Solanum lycopersicum: one gene and its partners. The protein of the gene in region 3 interacts with the protein of the main gene of each other region in a pairwise test. Links are inferred from orthologs where the notes say so. Each region holds a gene or a part of one and is shown on either strand. Other genes may lie near its edges.

Region 1 (6,051 bases), on a different chromosome or scaffold from region 3:
GCTAAAATTAAAATCAAATAGTTTGTCAGGAAAAGACAGAGAGGACATAAAGATTGGGACCCTTTTGGAACATAAGAACTATTAGGATAACCATATATAACCAGTTTCCTAACTACCAAAGGTTAAGAAAAATATGCTTTCAAGAAATAATTTTAATTAGTGAACAATAACCGGATGCAACAAAAATACCGGAACAAAAAAAAATATTGTTATTAAATAATAGTAATAATGATCATAGAATGTAAGCAAATAATAGTAATGTCGACGTAACAGGGATCAAATAAAGTTTCATCAAACCCGTCCGGCATCACCACCCCACCACCCTAAGAGATGGTAAAATTAAAGGCAATTAATATTTCCTCACAGCAAAGCATACATGTTCTGATTGAACCACTTAAAGAGCAAAGAAGACTCACAAACAACACTGTCGAGTACAAGTCCATTCCTTCTAAACTATAAGGTGAGGCCAGACGAGCAAGGCCAAATGCATGATCTGCTTCTTGGTAATCAACCATTTCGAAGTATGCCCTTCCAATCTGGCATTCAAATATGCACATCAGATGCCACATGTAGACAGATAAATCTGGCATTCTAATTTGGTCATGACATGCCACAATAGACAAATACCAAGAGAACCTTTTTATATTTGATAAGCAACAGATACCAAGAAAACTAAAGAGCAAGTTAGGCCAAGAGATACCAAGAGAACTCAAGAGCCGGTTAAGTCAAGGGATATGTAAAAAGAAAGAAGCCCATGCCCCACCACAAGTAGAAAGGGCTAAAGACCGTCAAACATAGTACAAAATGGTCCTAAAAATTATACTAGCAAAAGTAGATATTCTCCGGACCATGCAATGCAGTGCCTTGAATCATGATCAATACTCTAGACTGTCCAAATGAAAGTTCATTGTCCTATTCAGAGGACTTACTTCAGCACCTAACACGGCAGAATCAAGATCCTAGAAGACCACTCTTAGAAAATAGTGCTCTCTGACATTCAATGAATATAAAGAAGACATGCATATCTATTCCAGGCCACTTAATATTCTTGTAGTGCACTCGAACAAAGCTATCTAATCGATATTTCTAGTACGTATCCATAACTATGTAACTAGTCTAAACATGGAACTTATACATCATGAAGATCAAGTTAGAAATTAACCCCAAAAAAGAAATGAGCATGTCCCGCTAAGTTTTTAGGAACCTACATACTGGAAGCAATTTCAATTAGAGACGAGCAAATAAACAGTAAAGGACAAGAATGAATATCTCCTTTGATTCCCTAAACAAGCATAAAGAGAAAACTTAAAATTAACAGGACTTTGAACGGAGGAAATATAAAAATACATACATTGCCTCCAAAAGGATTGGAGAAAAAGTGATCAAGAAAGACAGAACCTTTACCTGAGAAAGAACCCATCCAGTGTGATAATGTTTGTGTGGTAGTTTGTTATAAACATCCAGTGCATCCTGTTCCACCGTAAAGCATCATATTTCAACCAAATCAATGTAGAGCATCAAATAAATGCTGAAATTTATCCATTCAGAATCAAAATGTAATACCTGACATCTATATAAACAAGAAAGTCTATAGCCTTCCCCAAGAATCCTGAAAAGGGACAATATATCTGAAGCACCTGAGAGGATAGATGTGCTGCTTACATTAACCCCAGAAGCAGAAGTTCCGGGCCCTTCTTGTTCAAGAGGTCTAGCATCACCAGAAGGGTGTGACAGAGTCATATTTAGCCGAGAATCATCAGAAATGTCATTGCGAGTCCCTGAGATGCAGACCTAACACAGTTACGAATAAAAACACATCTCAAAGGTAGATGTTTTTCTTAGGTAGCAACAGTGCACAAACACAAGAAATTCCATATGAACATAGCTGTTGGTGTTCAGCTTTCTTCATTTTTCCATTGGTTGATAGCAGTAATTTCAGATGAAAAAAACAATTTATCTGTACTCTTGAATTCTTTCAAATGATTAATGCATTAATCAATTGTGATCCCACACATCCAAATAGTAGTTAACCAGAACTCGGGAACTACAGAAGTAAAGTTTCAACTTTGACGAATAATAAAAGAGGTAAGAAAAAAGTCAAAAAAATAGAGGGAGAAAAACTCCTTCCTAAAGTTTGTGACGGAACCACTAAATAAGAAAAGTGTGCACAAGTCTATTCGAATTTAGGGGATCATGAAAGTGACTCCAATATAACAAGAACAAAATTTTGTTAGATTTCAGAAATAACACATATAACACAAAAGCAATCCATTTGGAGGACAGGCGGAGTTTCGTGCCTCCCTTATGTTTAGTAAAAATATCTTCAGATGATATGTCCTTATTAGATGATAGAAAGTTTCCAGAGAAAATCACACCCGACTTCTTTTTCTGTAGCAGACTAATATACAAATTTAGCTCCATGCAGGCCTGGATGTCAGCATATCACCACCCAACTGCTGTTCAAGTGTACTATGACTTCTGCATAGGGGGGGGGGGGGGGGGGAGGAAGAAAAAAGTTGCCTGACACTCCGTTTTGTTTCACGCATTAATGTTGACTGGGTACAGTCAAAAGTCAACACTTCTTTGTAATTATACTTCATTTCAAGCAATTGTGTGACCAAACCTTAGGATTCACATAAAATTTTTATGATTAGTCTATTCTAAAAAGGTGACAACGCTTAGGTTAAAAATACAATGAACAACAGAATTATCAAGAGAAAAGACAAAATATCAATCACCTTCACCATAATTTTCGGCAGCCCAAGATTGTGTCTTTCGACTTGTCATGGAACGTAAAGTCATTGAGCTCAGCTTCGAACTACCATAATATTTGGAAGAATGAATGGTTCCATTTCCAGAAGCTGCAGATACATTTGAATTTGTGTTTCCAGTAGATTCTCCCGAAAGCCTTGAATTTCGTCGAGGGCCAGAATCAGAAAATAACCTCCCAGATATCTGGAAAGATAAGAGATAGTGGACTCAGACCCAAAAAAGGGGTAATGGAGACAACGAAAATCCACCATATAAAGCACCAGAAATGTATAGGGAAGTTTAGAGATTGAAAGTTAAAACTGAACAAATGCACAAAATAAAGGAGATGAACAAAATCAATACCATAGTTCAACAAGCTAAAAGTTTGTAAAAACATTCTCGTTTTTTAACTAAAAGAGGTCAAATAAGACAAAATAAGAGCCTAGCCTCTAACAACTGGCTTCTACAGGTGAAAATTGGTAAGGACAGCAGGCTTGCACCAAAAGCTTCACACTAAAAGCTCACTTCCAAATTTCAACAAAAGAGAAAACTAACACTTAAATTGTTATGATATCATTTTGTGAAGCTTTTTTTATCACGAAAAACTTAGAATAAAAGCTGTTTCACTTTGTTTTAGAATCATATAAAGGCATCCTGATTGATAGACATACTTAAAATGGAATATGAGGAAGTACGACATTACTTCAGTGGGAAGTTTCTATAAAAAACCTAACAATCCTGCAGCGATTATACAGAGAAAGAAGAACTTAATATTATAATAAATTAGATGACTGAAACCTATGTATTATAGTACTGCATACCTTTCTTAACTTCCCTTCATCAACAAACTTTCTCCGAGGGGCCTGAATGGTTGAATTGACAGTTGATCGTGGAGAGTTATCAGCACCAGCCACAGATGCATTAGTACCATTTTGCTGAAAATTTCTACAAACTGGAGGTGGAACCACTCCTGACAACTGCAAAGAAATTGTATTTTACAAACTTTCGAAAAATCAAAAAGAAATTCTAGTGTTGCCAAAGTGCATATAAGAATGTCAGTTGATTCTTTAATATAGAAGATTGTCACCTTTACATATTGTTTAGCCAAGCTTTTGGAAGGGCCAAAAGTGCTTCTTCTTGTTTTTAAAAAAGTGTGTATGTTTAAAAAAGTGAGTTGTTTAACCAAGCTATGAGGAGAAAATAAGTGTTTCAGGGAGTAGCAGAAGTTTAAAAAGATAGCTTTTCTCCCAAAGTGCTGTATTGAAAAGCACTTTTGAGAAAATACACTTAGAAGAACTTGTTAAAAACATGGTCAAACACAAACTGCTTCTCACAAAGCAAAGTCACAAACTGGTTGTCACCAAAAGTACTTTTTAGAAAAGCACTTCTCAAAATAAACTCATTTTAGAAGCTAGGCCAAAAAGGCTATTAATTTCACTTCAATTAACAAGAACATAGCTCTGTGAAACTATACAGATATCATTAGAAAGTTACCAACTATGTTTTAAACCGGAGAAGACATTTTAGACTCCATCGGATTGACAATAAATTAGATATTTTCTGTCCTCTTCAAAACTTGCAATCTGCTTTAAATTAGAGTCAAATTCTCTGATTGCTACCCTCTTCCTCAATCTAAGAAACTATGATCTAACTAACAAATACATTGTCACCATTTATTTTAGAATGGTAAGGGTGTATTGCTTGGTACAAAGGACAATCTAGAGAAGCATGTCTCATTCAGGATAATCTGCAGAGAAGGGGATACCAGTTATGTAGCAAATGGTATATGTGTAATAACAACAGAGATAATCAATCATATATTCTTGCATTGTCCAATAGCAACACAAATATGGTAGATGTTTTACAATATTTGGACATGAACTGAGTAATGCCAAGATCAACCTCAGACTTATTGGGCCTTTGAAAACTAAATGGAATACAATTACAGCATGTTTTGGTGGTGCATATGGAAGGCAAGGAATAGAAGAGTTTTTGCTGGTCAAGCTAACAATACTCTAAAGATCAAATCTGACTGTAATATTTTGTTCTAGTAGGATTAGGATGGATTTGGTAAATGATGTAGAAACCTTATGACAGCGCATAGATAGCTTGCAATAGAAGATTACGGACTTCTCTTGGTTTTTGAACTTTTGGTGGTGTACTTGGGTACAACCTTTGTGCTACATCGGTAATACAACTGTGAAATTAGGTCTTATGCCTAACTCACACCCCCAAAAGCTAGCTCAGAGGGAGGAGGATTGTCCAAGCCTTATAAGGAGTCCCAATCATCTCATTAACCACTGATGTGGACTTTTGTCATTCTTTGACATCCCACCTCACGCCCAGTGCTTAGCATCTTGTGCCTGGACAATTTGGATTTTTGGGAACCCCAACATCGGGTGAGACGGCCCCTGCTCTGATACCATGTGAAATTAGCCTAACTCACACCCCAAAAATTAGCTCACAGGGAGGAGGATTGTCCAAGCCTTATAAGGAGTCTACTCATCTCATTAACCATTGATGTGGGACTTTTGTCATTCTTTAACACTAACCTTTTAAAAAGGAGCACTAACACACACACACACACACACACACACACACACACACACACACACATATATATATATATATATATATATAAATTGTCTATCTAATTCTACATCATTAGAGTTCAAGGGGAAAAAGTTATGTAATCTTTAAAGAATAATAAAAATTAAGCATCTTCACTGCAATGCATACAGTGATAGCAAGTAACAACCAATGACCCTTTTTAAGTTAGCACCAGAAGAAAAGAGTTCCTATTTCCCATATCGAAAAGACACAAAAGATAAAATGTCATTGAACAGACAAACTAACAACTATGGATGTAAGCCTGATAACCGCATTATATAAACAATGTAGAGAAAAATATAGATGGGGCGATTCGGGTGAGGTCCAATTGGAATAAATACTGGTTAACTAGAGACCAGATTTTTGATTGCAGATAGAATGCAACCGATGAGCAGCAGCATAATCTTAAAAAGTAAGAAAATCACCTGATTTGTTGAGTAAATAGCAGCTATCTCTAGGGTTAACAAAAGGAGAAGCTGTTATCCTGGTTGTGGCACGCTAAGTTATCTTCATGTATAAAAAGACGTACCAGAAAGAGGTCAAGTTAGAAGGTTCAGACATGACTATTATAAAGTCAATCCAAATTCTTTTATCAAAAAGTGAGAATTCTGATTAAGGTGTAACCATTTTAAAGTTCTACTATGATACTCCCCAAGTGAAGATAATTGGCTATGGTTTAAAATCAATTAA
Region 2 (6,798 bases), on a different chromosome or scaffold from region 3:
ATATTGCCTGTAAAAACATGGCATCTGCTCTTTTATAGCACCAGCCTTCTAGAGGCTTAGAGAGGTACTACCTTTTCCTCCTCTTTTTTCTCCTTTTTGGGGTTCAAGGGTGGCCACTGGCCAGGGCTAAGGATTTGTGAGTTTACAATGCAAATGACAGTAAAAAAATTACTTTTTCTTCTAAAAAATTGGAATTTTTGTATAAAGATGGTGCAGATTTCACATGGTCTCTTGACTCTCTGAAAATTTTCTTTTCTGTGCTGGAAACAGGTTGAATTCTTCATCTGTATTTTGCTGACTCTCCTTGGGTGGATACCTGGTATTCTTTATGCTTTTTGGGCCCTCCAGTCCTCACCAAATGGTCTTCCTTTCCTATGGTAATTGTTCTTAAATTTCATCCTTTCTACTGCCAAATAGAAAAGGGGTAAAAGATACTTCTGTCATTTTAGTTTAGAGGAGCATTCAACTCAGATCTAACAGCTTGAAGATTCTCTCAATTTGCTTAAAAGATATTCTAGAGTTCAAACAATATACTCTACTATTTATGAAGAGTATCTAATTCATTTTTCTACTTTACTTGACAGGTGGGCGTATAAAGGCCCCATTTAGAGATAATACCCCTTCAAGTTTCATGCTGATAAATATTGGCTCATTGAGAAGCAGTCCAGATACAGAAAGAATAAAGTGTCTATGCTCTTCAAGAAATTGCCTATAGAGAGGAGATTACTTCAAGACAGAACTTCTGCTTGTTCTTGTGTATACAGACTAGTGTCTAGGATTCTTGTTACATATATCACTTCTCTATCCTTCTTTTACTTTATTAAATCTACTGTGAACAACTTGTGTTGGAATGGAAATGCCATATTGTAGTTAATGTTTGGAAGGAAAACTATGGCCAAGAGGTCACAAATTACACTTCGTTGAGTTTTCCGTCTTCTCGTTATTTACCCTATAAGAAGCTCTGTTCCAATACTGTAGCTTTGCCAAATAACTTTAAGGCCAAAAGGTCTCAAGTAAAACCTAGTTGAACATTTGTTTTCTTTTATTAACCCTATAAGTAAGTCCACCATAGTATATCCTTTCCAGTCTCACTGGGTGGTCAAAAGGTCATAACTAAAATCTATTTGGAGAAAAACCAGACGTCTTCACCACTGAACTTACAAAGAAATAAAGTCTAGCCCTGGATCCCCATCTCTTCTCTTCCATAAACTTAGGCCATTAGGATTGGTCGTCTTGCAAGCAGGATTAAAAAAACTAACAGAGGAAGTAGTTTTATACTTTTATTCCATGAATAAGCACAATAATATATTCTTACTTTTTCTTTTTCTTATCCAACTTCATGGAAATTACATATCCAAACAAGGAGAGAATAAGAACTTTTTTGTGGAAACTATTGAGAAGTTGTGATTTTTGAAAACTCCTGCTTTACGGGAACTTATACAAGTCAACACCAGCACTTAAAGACTATCCTTGTCCCGAAACCCAACTTTGATCTCTTCTAACATGCATAATTGTGCATAAAGGTTGTTGTTGGTTGATGTTAATACACTGTGATTATTCAAGCTTCCATCAGAGTAGATAGACATTAGTCTTCATGGGAAGACGCATGATACAAATAGATTCAATACCACAAACTTCTAACCACAAGGGAAAATCAAATGGATACTTACCAATCTATATAAAAAATTGAGCCAGTAATATGAACTAGTCACAGCAAGATATAGTCAAGCCGCTGAAATGCTCTGTAACACAGAGACACATAATATGTTTGGATTTCTTGACAAAGTAAGAGTTAAATTAATAGCATCAAGAAGATGCATAATATGTTAATACTGATTCTGAAAGAATACAACATCCGTGACAAGTGTTTGTAGTATCTTTTAGTTGACAGCTTATGGTGAAAATATTTGATTAATATACTCAGTTAGCTGTTATAACACACCCTATATTGACAATTACCTTCAAAGTATCTTTCTAAACCTATATTTTAGAAGGTTCAGTTATGTTAACCACAAATTCAAAAGAGGGAGAAGTTGTCTTGAGAAAGTCTCTTTTGTAATGGAGGATAATTGGACAGCTCCAGCCTCCAGATGTATCACAAGTTTCAATTGAAAAGTTCTCTACAGCAACTAACAATGTTACTAGGACAAAGTATACTCTTATAACTGTCAGCATGTTAGATGCAGTTTTCATTAACACACCTGCCATCCATTAAGATATTGTACCTTTTATATCATTCTCCAGTCTCACACCAAATCAAACAAATTAAACCAACTATGAAGGACTGCAAATATTGTCAAGCAACAGTTTATAGCTCTCCTTGTGTTCATGAGTAACATCAATGTAGAAACATGTAAACCTTGAAAACTAATGCAGGTGGAATTTTCACGTTTTGTCAAAGAAGTGATGAATGCACAATCACATTTTCTTTTTTCTCTTAGCAAGATTACATGTGATTGATGATCCATATCTTATATGCCTGAGAAAACTATTAGGGAGAGATAAACAGGCTTACTTAGTGGACAATCATCACCAGGGAGTTTGCAATCAGGACAGCAACCATCAAAAGCCATCCGACATATACCACAAGTTTCATCCTGAGCATCCCATGTCCATGAAGAAACCGCATGCCATCTGCAATGCACGAGGAAGTAACAAAAGTAAGATGAAGTAACCATGCCATGTAGTCTTAAGTCCGACAACAATAAAAATACCAAATGCAATCAAGAGGACATACTCTATTCACAATCCCAGCAAAACACCCAATAGATCAAGTTAAGGGAAACTTCATGATATACTGATACAGCCAATTCTCAAGGAAACATGCCAACATATCCTTCAGTCAAAGAAACTAACAAACTTGCAACATTAGGCTTACCCTCCATTTACTTAAGAAAGTCAGAATATGCACTTCTGTACCTTAGTGAAACAATCGATGAAACACAAACTAAAGTTGATTTGGGGGAGTTTAATGGCTCTACATTCTCCAACAAAATTCAGAAATCAATGATATTAAAATCCTAAGATCACAAGATGAGCCATATCCAATCACTAATTACATATTTAGACAGAAAATAATCTTTCATATCAGAAATGATTTAGTAACAGTTGCTATAATTCACTGCACTAATTAACTGCTCAACCAACATACATACCGTATCCTTCATTTAAACATTTCAAATCAGTGACATAATTAACAAAAGGATACGCAAAATCTTGACTTTCATTGGCTTTTTCTCTGCAATGTCAACACCACAAAAACGGAAATTCTTAAATTATATGAGAAATGATAATTAAAAACACTCTTCACACAAAAAAAATAAAAATGAATACTACGATAACAGAGAAATTAACCTTTTTCCACGACAAAATTGGTGCGTTGATCTACTGTTTCAGAAAGATTTTGAAATTTTGAACTGACATTTCTTCGTCTAGGGTTTTAAACCAACTCTGAAAATGGCGGAAAAACTAGTGAAAAAATATGGTACGATCCAAAGTCCAAACCAGCGGGCAACAGGCTTAGGCTTAAGGCCCAGACTGAACCAGCCCATATCGTTATCACGGGCCGTTAATGATTTTGGGCTTGTTTGATTCGAGAACAAGTTATGCTAAGATTATTTGAAATATAATAGCAACAGTCAATTCGCTACCTTTATTTTACGAGGTTTATTTCAGGCAATTGAACTTGTTCAAAATTAGTGTTTGAAACCTCATATAGTTTTGTCCTATTGTATGTGTATCGCCATTTTAAGTTGTTTTTGTTAAATTGATTGTAACTACCCCTAATTACCACATAAAATGGTATTTGATTAGATAGTATTATTTATCTTACTAATTTGACTATTGTAATTCATATCATTGATAAAAGAAAAAATTAAACTAACAGTTGCAAAGAGAGAAATACATCATATTACTACATATAATGAAATTTGATTAGAAACATAATTTATTCTACTAATTTGACTATTGTAATACAAAGCATTGATAAAAGAAAATATTTAAGTAACAGTTGCATAGAGAGAAATACATATGACAAGTGAAAATGTAAATAGTTTAATGAATATAATTTTAAAAAAGTGAAAGTTATATATAAATTGGAGGGGATATTATTTAAATTTCATCACACTGTATATATCTTTTGTTAGTCTATAGTCTATACATTTGATTATAACTTACTATTTGTCTATAAAAATTATGACCTCGAATAAGAAAAGAAATTAGTGTTTGGAATTTATGATTTATCTATTATTTCCAAATTCACTTTTGTCCATGTATGATGTACCGAATGACTACATGAGATCTCGTAGGATGACCGTTACAATTTGATTTTAAAGCTTACCATAGTAACCTTTTATAAAACTCATTCATTTAAATGTTTACATGCATCATATGGTCCGTAAGAATTAAGATATGTGAAAATTGAACATATCACACTATATTTTTATTAAATAGAATTTAAGTCTACGAAAAAGTCGTGACAAATTTCAACTAATGATTTTTTCTTATGAAATAAATAACAACTAAATTATAAGAGGTGATTTTAGATACAACTTTTAAACTACAATTCCATTGAAAAATGTTATTAACAATCTTATTTTATTCATCTTTTATGTTTCTATATCAGATAGGGTTGCAGGAAAATTAGTAATTATTATTATTTTTCTAAAAAAAAATTAATAAACACGTCTATAACAATATATCATGTAAATTTTTAATTGAGATATTATAACTGGACCCCTGGTCAGGTGGAACCAAAAAATTGTATTGACAATCAAAATTGAAAATATTTGGGCACTAAATTTTTTTCCAAATATGTTTGATCATCAATTCATCTTCCAGATATGCAAATAAATACAAAATCTTCCATATTAATTAGTGAAACATCTTCATATTTGTATATAACATGCCCATTCCAAGAAACTAAAGAACACAGAACTGTACATCTACCCTATTTTTTCATCTTGTTTGCATATTTGTTGCTTTGCATCCCAAAAAAATGACAAGAAAGAAAGTGAAATTAGCCTTCATCACTAATGACTCGGCAAGAAAAGCAACATTCAAGAAAAGGAAGAAGGGTCTGATGAAGAAGGTGAGTGAATTGAGCACCCTTTGTGGGATTGATGCTTGTGCTATTATTTATAGCCCTTATGACACTTCACCAGAAGTATGGCCAAACACCATGGGAGCTCAACGCGTGCTCGCCGAGTTTAAAAGGATGCCTGAGATGGAACAGAGCAAGAAAATGGTGAATCAAGAGAGTTTCATAAGGCAGAGGATAGCTAAAGCGAGCGAGCAATTGAAGAAACAGAGCAAGGAAAACAGAGAAAAGGAAATGACCGAAGTTATGTATCAAGGGTTGACTGGAAAAGGGCTTCAGAATTTGAATTTGGGAGATTTGAATGACCTTGGATGGGTAATTGATCAGAATTTGAAAGAGGTTTATAAGAGGATTGAGGCAGTTAAAAAGGGGGCTTCGACTTCCTCTTCTTCTTCTGTTGCTGCTGCTGCAGTTGCTGCGGCAGCAGTAGCATCGCAGGCAGTTGCTCCACCGATGGAGCAAAAGCCTGCTGTGGTGGAATTGGGATTGGATTCGATGCAGAGGACACAAACAGAGTGGTTTACTGATTGGATGAACAGCAACGCAAGTGATCAGCATATTGGTTATGGACATGCAGATGAGATGATTTTGCCCAATTTTAATGATAATCATAATGCTAATGTGTGGCCTAATAATTTCTATCCTTAATTTTATTTTCTGCTTCCTATTTCTTTTCTGGATTTTTACCTATGTCATTTTTAATTTGTTTATTTTCTCAATCTCCCACGGTGGATATGAATTATTACATGGTTTTTTCTTAATTTATGGTGGGTCAATTTCTTTTCTTCTTTTTGGTTTTTTCTGGTGTTTCGTATAGATTTTTATTTACCATATAAATAAATAAAAGTGTGTTTTGACAGTTTAATATATTCGCGTTATGTTATTCTTATATGTGTAAATTAAATTAATATTCTCGACTGGGTTATACTACTATTAACAACCTCACGAGTAAATTGCCTAGTGATTCGAATCTTCCACGTTTTAATGCATAATACACTTTTATACAATTATTATAAAGATATGTAAACACAAATTCTTGTTCAAAGATAAACATGTAGTGCACAGCGGTAATCTCAATCTGTTCCGAGTAACATATAGAAAGTCACAAAGAAGTAGGAAATTACAAGATTTCGATCTCTCAAAAAATAAAAAAATATAATAAGGACATCATAAATTATTAACGTAAAATAAAATTTATTCCAAACCCATTATTTTCTTCTGTGTCCTTAAAAAATTAGAAGAAGATAATATTACACACAATGATAATTTTGTAAATTTAAGAAAACAACTGATCAAAAAAAAGAAATACTTTGTTAATCAAACAGTGTTATATTATGTCATTACTATCCACTCTTTACAAAATATCATTAGTCCATGTCCAACACATTCCTCTTATTTAAGTAGTGCAAGTGAGATGGTCAAATGAATGTCATTTAGTAATTAGAACCTTATTCTGGCTAGAGTGAGCTATTTGTCACTCAGAAAAGAAAAAGAAAAAAAACACTAATATTCCATCAACAGTATTAATTTCTCAGTGGTGTTAAAATTAGACTAATTAAGTTTATGCACTCAACTTGTCGAACGATTGATGAACCTAATTAATTGTGGACTAGAAAAGAATATAAGAGTATAACAAAACGAGTATATCATTCTCAATCCACTATGCAACAACATCCAAATAGTAATTAAATTCTCTATCT
Region 3 (6,697 bases):
TACCTGTCCGGATAGTCCACAATGATTTCAAAAAGTTTGGCTATTCTGAGATCCTGCAAGGTTTCATAAGCATAATACTCTAAGCGCAACTGCCATCTAACAAGCCCCTCAGATGGAATTCCAGTTCCAGAATAGCACGAGGGGTGGGATGCCAGGGGAGATTTCAGGCCAGGGGAAGGGTCATTGCAGTTAGTAAAATCTCCAAGGTAATCAAGAAGTGCTCGTAAGAACTGAAGGGGCACAGCCTGCACAAATTGGTTCTCAATGTTAGTAAATTGGATCCAACAGAAATTTCCTGACAAGTCAGATTGGTCTAAACATAAGCTTATCCATGTTCTTCAAGTTTGAACAAAACTTCATGTAGAATTGATATTCAAGATAATATAGTCAACCTTTCACAAAGTTATTCTGTCATTTGTTTTGTCATCTATACAATGCCTCCCAAGCTATCGACACACAAATCACATGAGTGAAAGTATCACTATCAATAAATTGGTTAAACACATAATAAAACCATTAGATACATCTGACTCAAAAATGTCTGACTTGTCATATTGCAGGATATCAATGGAATCCAAACTAGTGCACTAGGCAAGGAAAAAATATTTCTTATTTCAGGATGCCAGTCACTTAATATCCCAAATGAATCAAATGACCACCACTATCTCTTCTATTAGTGCTGAAGAAGATAAATTTCAAAAGACCTTGCATTGCTACTCCAAAATAGAACTTTGAAAGGGCCTTTGTCACTGTATTTTGAGACATGAGATTGGGATCATGCAGATGAGACTAACCTGTATCCATGCTTTAATGGACTCCAAAACAGAGCTCCTATAGTCATCACCAGCCAAATCATGTACTTTGTCCTATCACCCACATTCAAAAGAATAATCGTGATCAAGATTAAGTGAATGTTTAATTTATATAGTTTGAAACGATTTCATTTTGTCAAATTAACAAAAATCAGAAACACCACAATTTGATTGATGTCAACTGAAAATGTAGATAAATCAACTGAAACTTTATCATTGTACGCCATGTACCTTTAAAAGAAAAAATATAGCAGAAGCATATGCATCTTCCGCCATAGATGTAAAACCAATATTTCTCAGATTACGAACAACCATTCCGATGTTCTTCACCAACTTATTGTTCTCTGAAAATACAGCATATTTATGGCTTATATCACTATCCATGTCACCACATTTGTAGGGAAGTTTGCTTTTCTCGTCTAAATCCATTTTATCATCCATGCCTAACTCCTCTTCATCCTCAGAGTTCGCAGCTGCAATTGTACTCAGCTCCTCCAGTCTTCCTTTGAAGTACCAGTGAAGTATCCCTAAAATAGTAAGGGGAAGGATAATCAAGAATTTAAAAATTTAAACTTTATAGGACATAGCCATAGAAGCATCTTTTGATATCAAGCTCCCCTTACCACTCTGTCTATTCTGAAAAATTGACGACAATGTAAATGTATAAGAATTTCAAACCTCTTCCTTGCCATTTTATATGTGTGTATTGTAAAGACGTATAACCTAACTTATAAATTCAGAAACCAAAGCCGTAAACCAGTGACTAAAGAAGTATAATTCCTATGTTGTAGTAACAACCCCAGGCAATGGTATTTAACATTTGAGTGATTGGCTACATGATTGGTCCAAGAACAAACTATCTTAGGACTGTAACTTCAAATAGGACAAAAACAAACAATCTAGGATCAATCATGTAGTGAGGAAGTAATCCACATACCAGGAAAATGGTGAGGAAGGCTAGCCAATAGAACTGAAGACACAATTAGTTGATATTTCGAGAGGAGATAAACTCGAGTAGAATCTGGGTTCGCTTGTCCTTGCAATTTGTCTTCTTCATAGGACTGTAAAGCACGAGCCAACAATAATAGGCACTTCTCCTGGAACTGCTTTTGAGATGATATTTCTTCCAAAGCTTTACATATTATTTGCTGAATTTCTTCTTCTAGAATCTGCATCAATACCAATCAGGATTTACTTATAAAATTTCCAAGCCCTAAAACCAAGTCATCGCTTGAGAAAGATAAATACGGCAAATGGAATCAGCAGCAATAACAAGTACATAACCATCCATATTCACTAGCTAGACAAGATAATATTGACAAACATTTTTCCATATAAATTACTTCCCAAAAATAATAAATGTAGTTGCCGTGTAAGGAAGCTAAGATTCAAAATATAAGCCAATTGCGACAGTGTTCAATAAATTTGTAGCAATGAAAGAAAGAAGTAAAGACCAAGAAACTATGGTAATCATAAAATATAATAACTAAATCCATTAAAAAGTTTAATCACTTACTTAAAAAGATGTAAATGGGTTGTTAGGTCATGTAATGTACAGATACTCTATCAAAGTAAGACTGGATTGGAACAGAAGTGTAGAACTTTACACGAAGGTACAAAAATCCAAAAAAAATTACAACAAATATAGAGAATTCTCATTAACAATAATCCTGCATCTGCACAGACACAGAAAGTTCCCAGTGAAAATCAAGTAGTAATCTATTTTTTCTAATTCCGTAGAATAGGTCTTCTCTTTAATGTAGAATGACATGACAAAGGATTCTATGTACGTACAAGATCCTTATTAGTTTCAGATGGTGCAGCATTTCTGTAAGGTTCAAAATAACTCCAGAACCTTTTTGCTCCATTTCTCTCAAAAATTTCCTGTTTGAACACAACACTGTCACCGTGAGTTCAAAAAGAACACCTAGTAGAGTCATAATGGCCATACCGGCTTTAAAATATGTAAAACTAGGTTAAATCACAAATTTAGGAAATGATGAATCAGTATGCATGGTGTGGCTGAAAATGTTTTCACATATAATATTTTTGTTGATGAAATCATTGGCAAATATTTCGAATATTGACCTTGGAGGAAAACATTTTCAAATTCAAGGTATTCAAACATTGAGATGATTTCATCAACCAAAATATTCACTGTGACAACACATTTCCAATTTAAATCCCTTGAATAGTTAAAATTGTCTTCTCCAAAATCAAAAATTTATGATAAGAGAAGAAAACTAATTCAGTTACTTAAGCGCGAAACTCATTTTCCATTTTTCTACTTATATCCAATATTATACCTTGAATAATTACCATATATCACCTACTATTATACTCAACCAAATGCAGGAAACAATGATCCAGGTCACAATTTTCCTCCAAAAAGGAACAATCTTTACTTGTATTTAGCGAAATTGAGTAGCTATGACGTTTTAGTATATTAATCTGCTTTCGGTAGATGAACATTTTATTGAAAACAAAATAACACTATGATGTAAAAATATTGAGCAGACCTCAATGCAACGAAGGAAGTGTTGTTCAACTAGAGATGAAAGGCCATGTTTGCAGAGATTCTTCGCTCGCATTACAAACTCATCGCTGAATGACAAATCACCACTGCCTTTGAGAAGAGCTTCTGAAGAAGAGCAAAAGCCATTCCAGTTTTCCGATATCACTGTTATGGAATCATCACTCAACGACTCCAATTTCTCCAAACCGCATCCCGATGAAGACGTATCGCACGTCATTTGTGAAGCTCTTACAAAGTTTGCTACTGATGATTTAGAAATCTACTTTTCCGGCGGAGAAAAAACCCTAATTGATTAAAAATCATGCATATAAAGATTTGTAATTGAGTTAGACCCGACAAAAGGAGACTTAGAGAGAGAGGAAAAAGTGAGGCTTTGGGTTCAAGTAAATTGTGCTCTGCTGCTTCAATGGTGTGAAGAAGAATCCAGCTCCTGCATTTGCCGCCATTTTCATGTTTGACTGCACTGTGACTAAGCCCATGTTCATACCCGACCCGACCCGAATTCTAATAGTCACAACATTCCAATAACTTTTTGAGAAGAACTTCAAAACAAATATAGTCTGTGGCTAGGTACGGAATCGTCTTTGTTAGAAAGTGTTTTAGCCTTCATTTTATAGCGCCTCGGAAAATACAAAATGATCGAGGATTGAAGAGCCCCATTCCACATCGCCTAGGGAATGCAAATTTGATCGGGACATGGAGAGGAGAGGCTTAGCATCAACGAGAGACATTCGACGCGAAACTAAATTTAACATAAAAACGCAAATTTAATCAAGGATCGGAGAGGAGGGACTTTGTTAGGGTAGCATGGGAATGCAAATTTGATTGAGGATTGGAGAGGAGGGGCTATGTTAGGGAGCGATTTAGTGTTAATATGAGATTTTCCGGCGCAAATTTAGATTTAGTCGCGCTCATATGAGTATATATCAGACACCGAGTGAAAACAAAATAAACAGTTTAGTTTGTGGCTTAACTATCATATAGATTGTCTAGTTACGACTCATAAAGTTGTGTTTGTTTGTTTGAAGGTGTGTTTGTTTATTGTAATTGTTCGCTTTGTATTATTCTCTTCACAATTACAAATTTAGTTGTGACAAAAATTGACAATTAATATAGTTTTCGCTCTCAATTTTAGATTTAATTGTGACAAAAATGAACAGTTATGTTGTTTCCACAATTTATTGCATAAACACTAAAAAAGATTTCAAACAATTATGTCTTAAACAAATATGGTAAGTGTGGAGATTTGTTTGGCATTTCTATTCTTGAAAACCAAATTGTTAAGAACCAAAGATTGATTAACCAAAAGTCGATAATAAACATCTTATTGGTTTGATTATCAATTTAACATGATCACAAAAACCAACAAATTGAAAATATTTAAAGATCAAATATCAAATCGGATCAAATTTTATGACCAAATAGATATTTGAAAATAAAATCTATAATCAAACGTTAACGAAGAAGGTAACAATTCAAGGAAGACATTTGGTGGAAAAGTTTGTAATTTCTGAATGCACTGCATAAACAAAAGCCATGTTCAAACATGAAAAAGGAGACCATCAAAGCACAAGGATACAACAGGAATGTTACTAATATTACTGTTCCATAAAAAAGAATGGAAGTACTCAAAATGAAAATATTTTGATCCTATCCTATTAATTTCTATACTTCAGAATGTGAAACAGTTAGCTTCAGACATAGAAAACAACTCCCTTCATGGACAACCGTCCTCGACAACAACAACTAGTCTAGCTGATCCGGTTTGAGAAGATGGTTCATCTGTTCTTGTTCCGGGGTGAACAGAGTATAGAAGCTTTATATGTTTCTTGGTGAGTCAAAAAACCTGGCTGCTCATCCTTTACAATCTTTAGAACAATAACTCAGTATCTGCTATTGCACTCACCTTTGTATCCAATCCGGACAACTTATGCATATTGACACTTTAACAGCACCAACCAAATCAAGAGGTCATGAGGCATTAAATATGGTAGGTACTTGCCGATCTTTGAACAGCGCGACACAAACAGCTGATAGAGTAAGTGGAAATCATCCCATCTGCTATGAATTATACCTATGCTCTACAATCTTGAGTCTTGGATGTGTTAAAGCTGCAAGAAACTATGCTTTAGAATTACCTGATCGGAAAAGGTACCTTTTTACAACGAAGTTATCATATAAATCAACATGAAAAATAAAACATTCAAACAAGATTGTATTAATACGAACCTGGAAATATTTACAGAACTTTGGAAAAGAATATCCTAGACAACCACTGAAAATGGTATAAACAACAATGATGCATCTCTACTTGTTTGGGAATAATAAATATCCTTAGTTTGCTGCTTAACCTCAAAAATGCTTCGAAAAGAAAAATACAAGAAAGGCATTCCATTCCACCTAGCAAATAACTTTTTTAAAAAATAAAAAAAGTGTAAAGACGGAGATGATACAGAGAAATACAGTAATCAGCCTTGGGACATAGGCATTCCAAAGTGCCATCATATTCTCAATCATTATAAGCCAACAGGATGGTTGTTGAAATACTTATACTTCATATTATCTATTAAGTAGACCATCTTAAGAAAGCTATCTGCTCAACATGCTTGAAGCACCATAAGCATTTCCGGTATTACCTATTCGAAGCAGGTAATATATTCCGCTACTGCAAGAGCTCCATGGGCAAAACTAACATATGGTATTTAAATATGGGTTTAACGTTGGGCCAAACTATTTAGTTGAAAGGTCAATTTTTTTGTAGCATACCAATCTTAACATCTCCAAAGAAAGTAAGAAATATGTAGCTTCTCCGGGATAGAATAAAAGGCCGTTCAGTTGATCTTCATAATAATGAGTGGGAAACTGAACACGTTCTTAAGAAATGCCAACAAATGTTAGGACTTGGGTGTTATGCCCTTAGAGTCGCATTCCCTGGTCGTGAAATTACATCTCGTGTCTCTGGTTATAAACTTTGGTAATTTCATGCTTATGTCTTTTCTTAATGAAGCATATTTATGTGATTTGTTTTACACAAAGAAAGAAAATAAAAAAGAAAAAAGGAAAAAGAGAAAAAGATCTTCTAGACGACAATAAAAAAAGTAATATACTAAGTATTACCTGAAGGTCAGGATCTTCACCAATAATCCTTACACGAGCACAATCCATCTTTTAAATGATGAAATCTTTTAGCATCTCGCATGATAATTTCCCGACCGACAAGCCTTGAAGCAATCTTTAATGCATTATGGCAATCACCACAGACACGCAGATTCTTTATAATCCGGATTGGTGATCGTGCAGAGCTATTCATAAGACCTTGAGCAAAAGCCAATCTCTCGCTGTGAGCCAT

What was found.
Region 1: the proteins of anaphase-promoting complex subunit 2 (region 3) and cell division cycle protein 27 homolog B interact in binary tests that used the Arabidopsis thaliana proteins (3 or more experiments, as listed by UniProt). The link is inferred for Solanum lycopersicum from reciprocal best matches to the Arabidopsis thaliana genes APC2 and HBT.
Region 2: the proteins of anaphase-promoting complex subunit 2 (region 3) and anaphase-promoting complex subunit 11 interact in binary tests that used the Arabidopsis thaliana proteins (3 or more experiments, as listed by UniProt). The link is inferred for Solanum lycopersicum from reciprocal best matches to the Arabidopsis thaliana genes APC2 and APC11.

The regions. Positions count from the first base shown.
Region 1 is NC_090802.1:28,489,303-28,495,353, reverse strand, and holds part of cell division cycle protein 27 homolog B, read right to left. Parts: intron 3,729-6,051; coding exon 3,573-3,728; intron 2,956-3,572; coding exon 2,739-2,955; intron 1,779-2,738; coding exon 1,564-1,778; intron 1,471-1,563; coding exon 1,405-1,470; intron 537-1,404; coding exon 417-536; intron 2-416; coding exon 1-1. UniProt on the Arabidopsis thaliana protein: Component of the anaphase promoting complex/cyclosome (APC/C), a cell cycle-regulated E3 ubiquitin-protein ligase complex that controls progression through mitosis and the G1 phase of the cell cycle.
Region 2 is NC_090800.1:86,979,731-86,986,528, reverse strand, and holds the start of anaphase-promoting complex subunit 11, read right to left. Parts: upstream 3,552-6,798; coding exon 3,505-3,551; intron 3,162-3,504; coding exon 3,156-3,161; intron 2,635-3,155; coding exon 2,516-2,634; intron 950-2,515; exon of another isoform or gene 610-949; coding exon of another isoform or gene 585-609; intron 378-584; coding exon of another isoform or gene 271-377; intron 1-270. Other genes in the region: Pmp3 domain-containing protein, read left to right, coding at 271-377, 585-609; agamous-like MADS-box protein AGL80, read left to right, coding at 4,997-5,746. UniProt on the Arabidopsis thaliana protein: Component of the anaphase promoting complex/cyclosome (APC/C), a cell cycle-regulated E3 ubiquitin-protein ligase complex that controls progression through mitosis and the G1 phase of the cell cycle.
Region 3 is NC_090804.1:2,482,371-2,489,067, reverse strand, and holds the start of anaphase-promoting complex subunit 2, read right to left. Parts: upstream 3,801-6,697; 5' UTR 3,566-3,800; coding exon 3,332-3,565; intron 2,697-3,331; coding exon 2,607-2,696; intron 1,982-2,606; coding exon 1,750-1,981; intron 1,340-1,749; coding exon 1,044-1,339; intron 867-1,043; coding exon 795-866; intron 246-794; coding exon 4-245; intron 1-3. Other genes in the region: pentatricopeptide repeat-containing protein At2g34370, mitochondrial, read right to left, coding at 6,482-6,697. UniProt on the Arabidopsis thaliana protein: Component of the anaphase promoting complex/cyclosome (APC/C), a cell cycle-regulated E3 ubiquitin-protein ligase complex that controls progression through mitosis and the G1 phase of the cell cycle.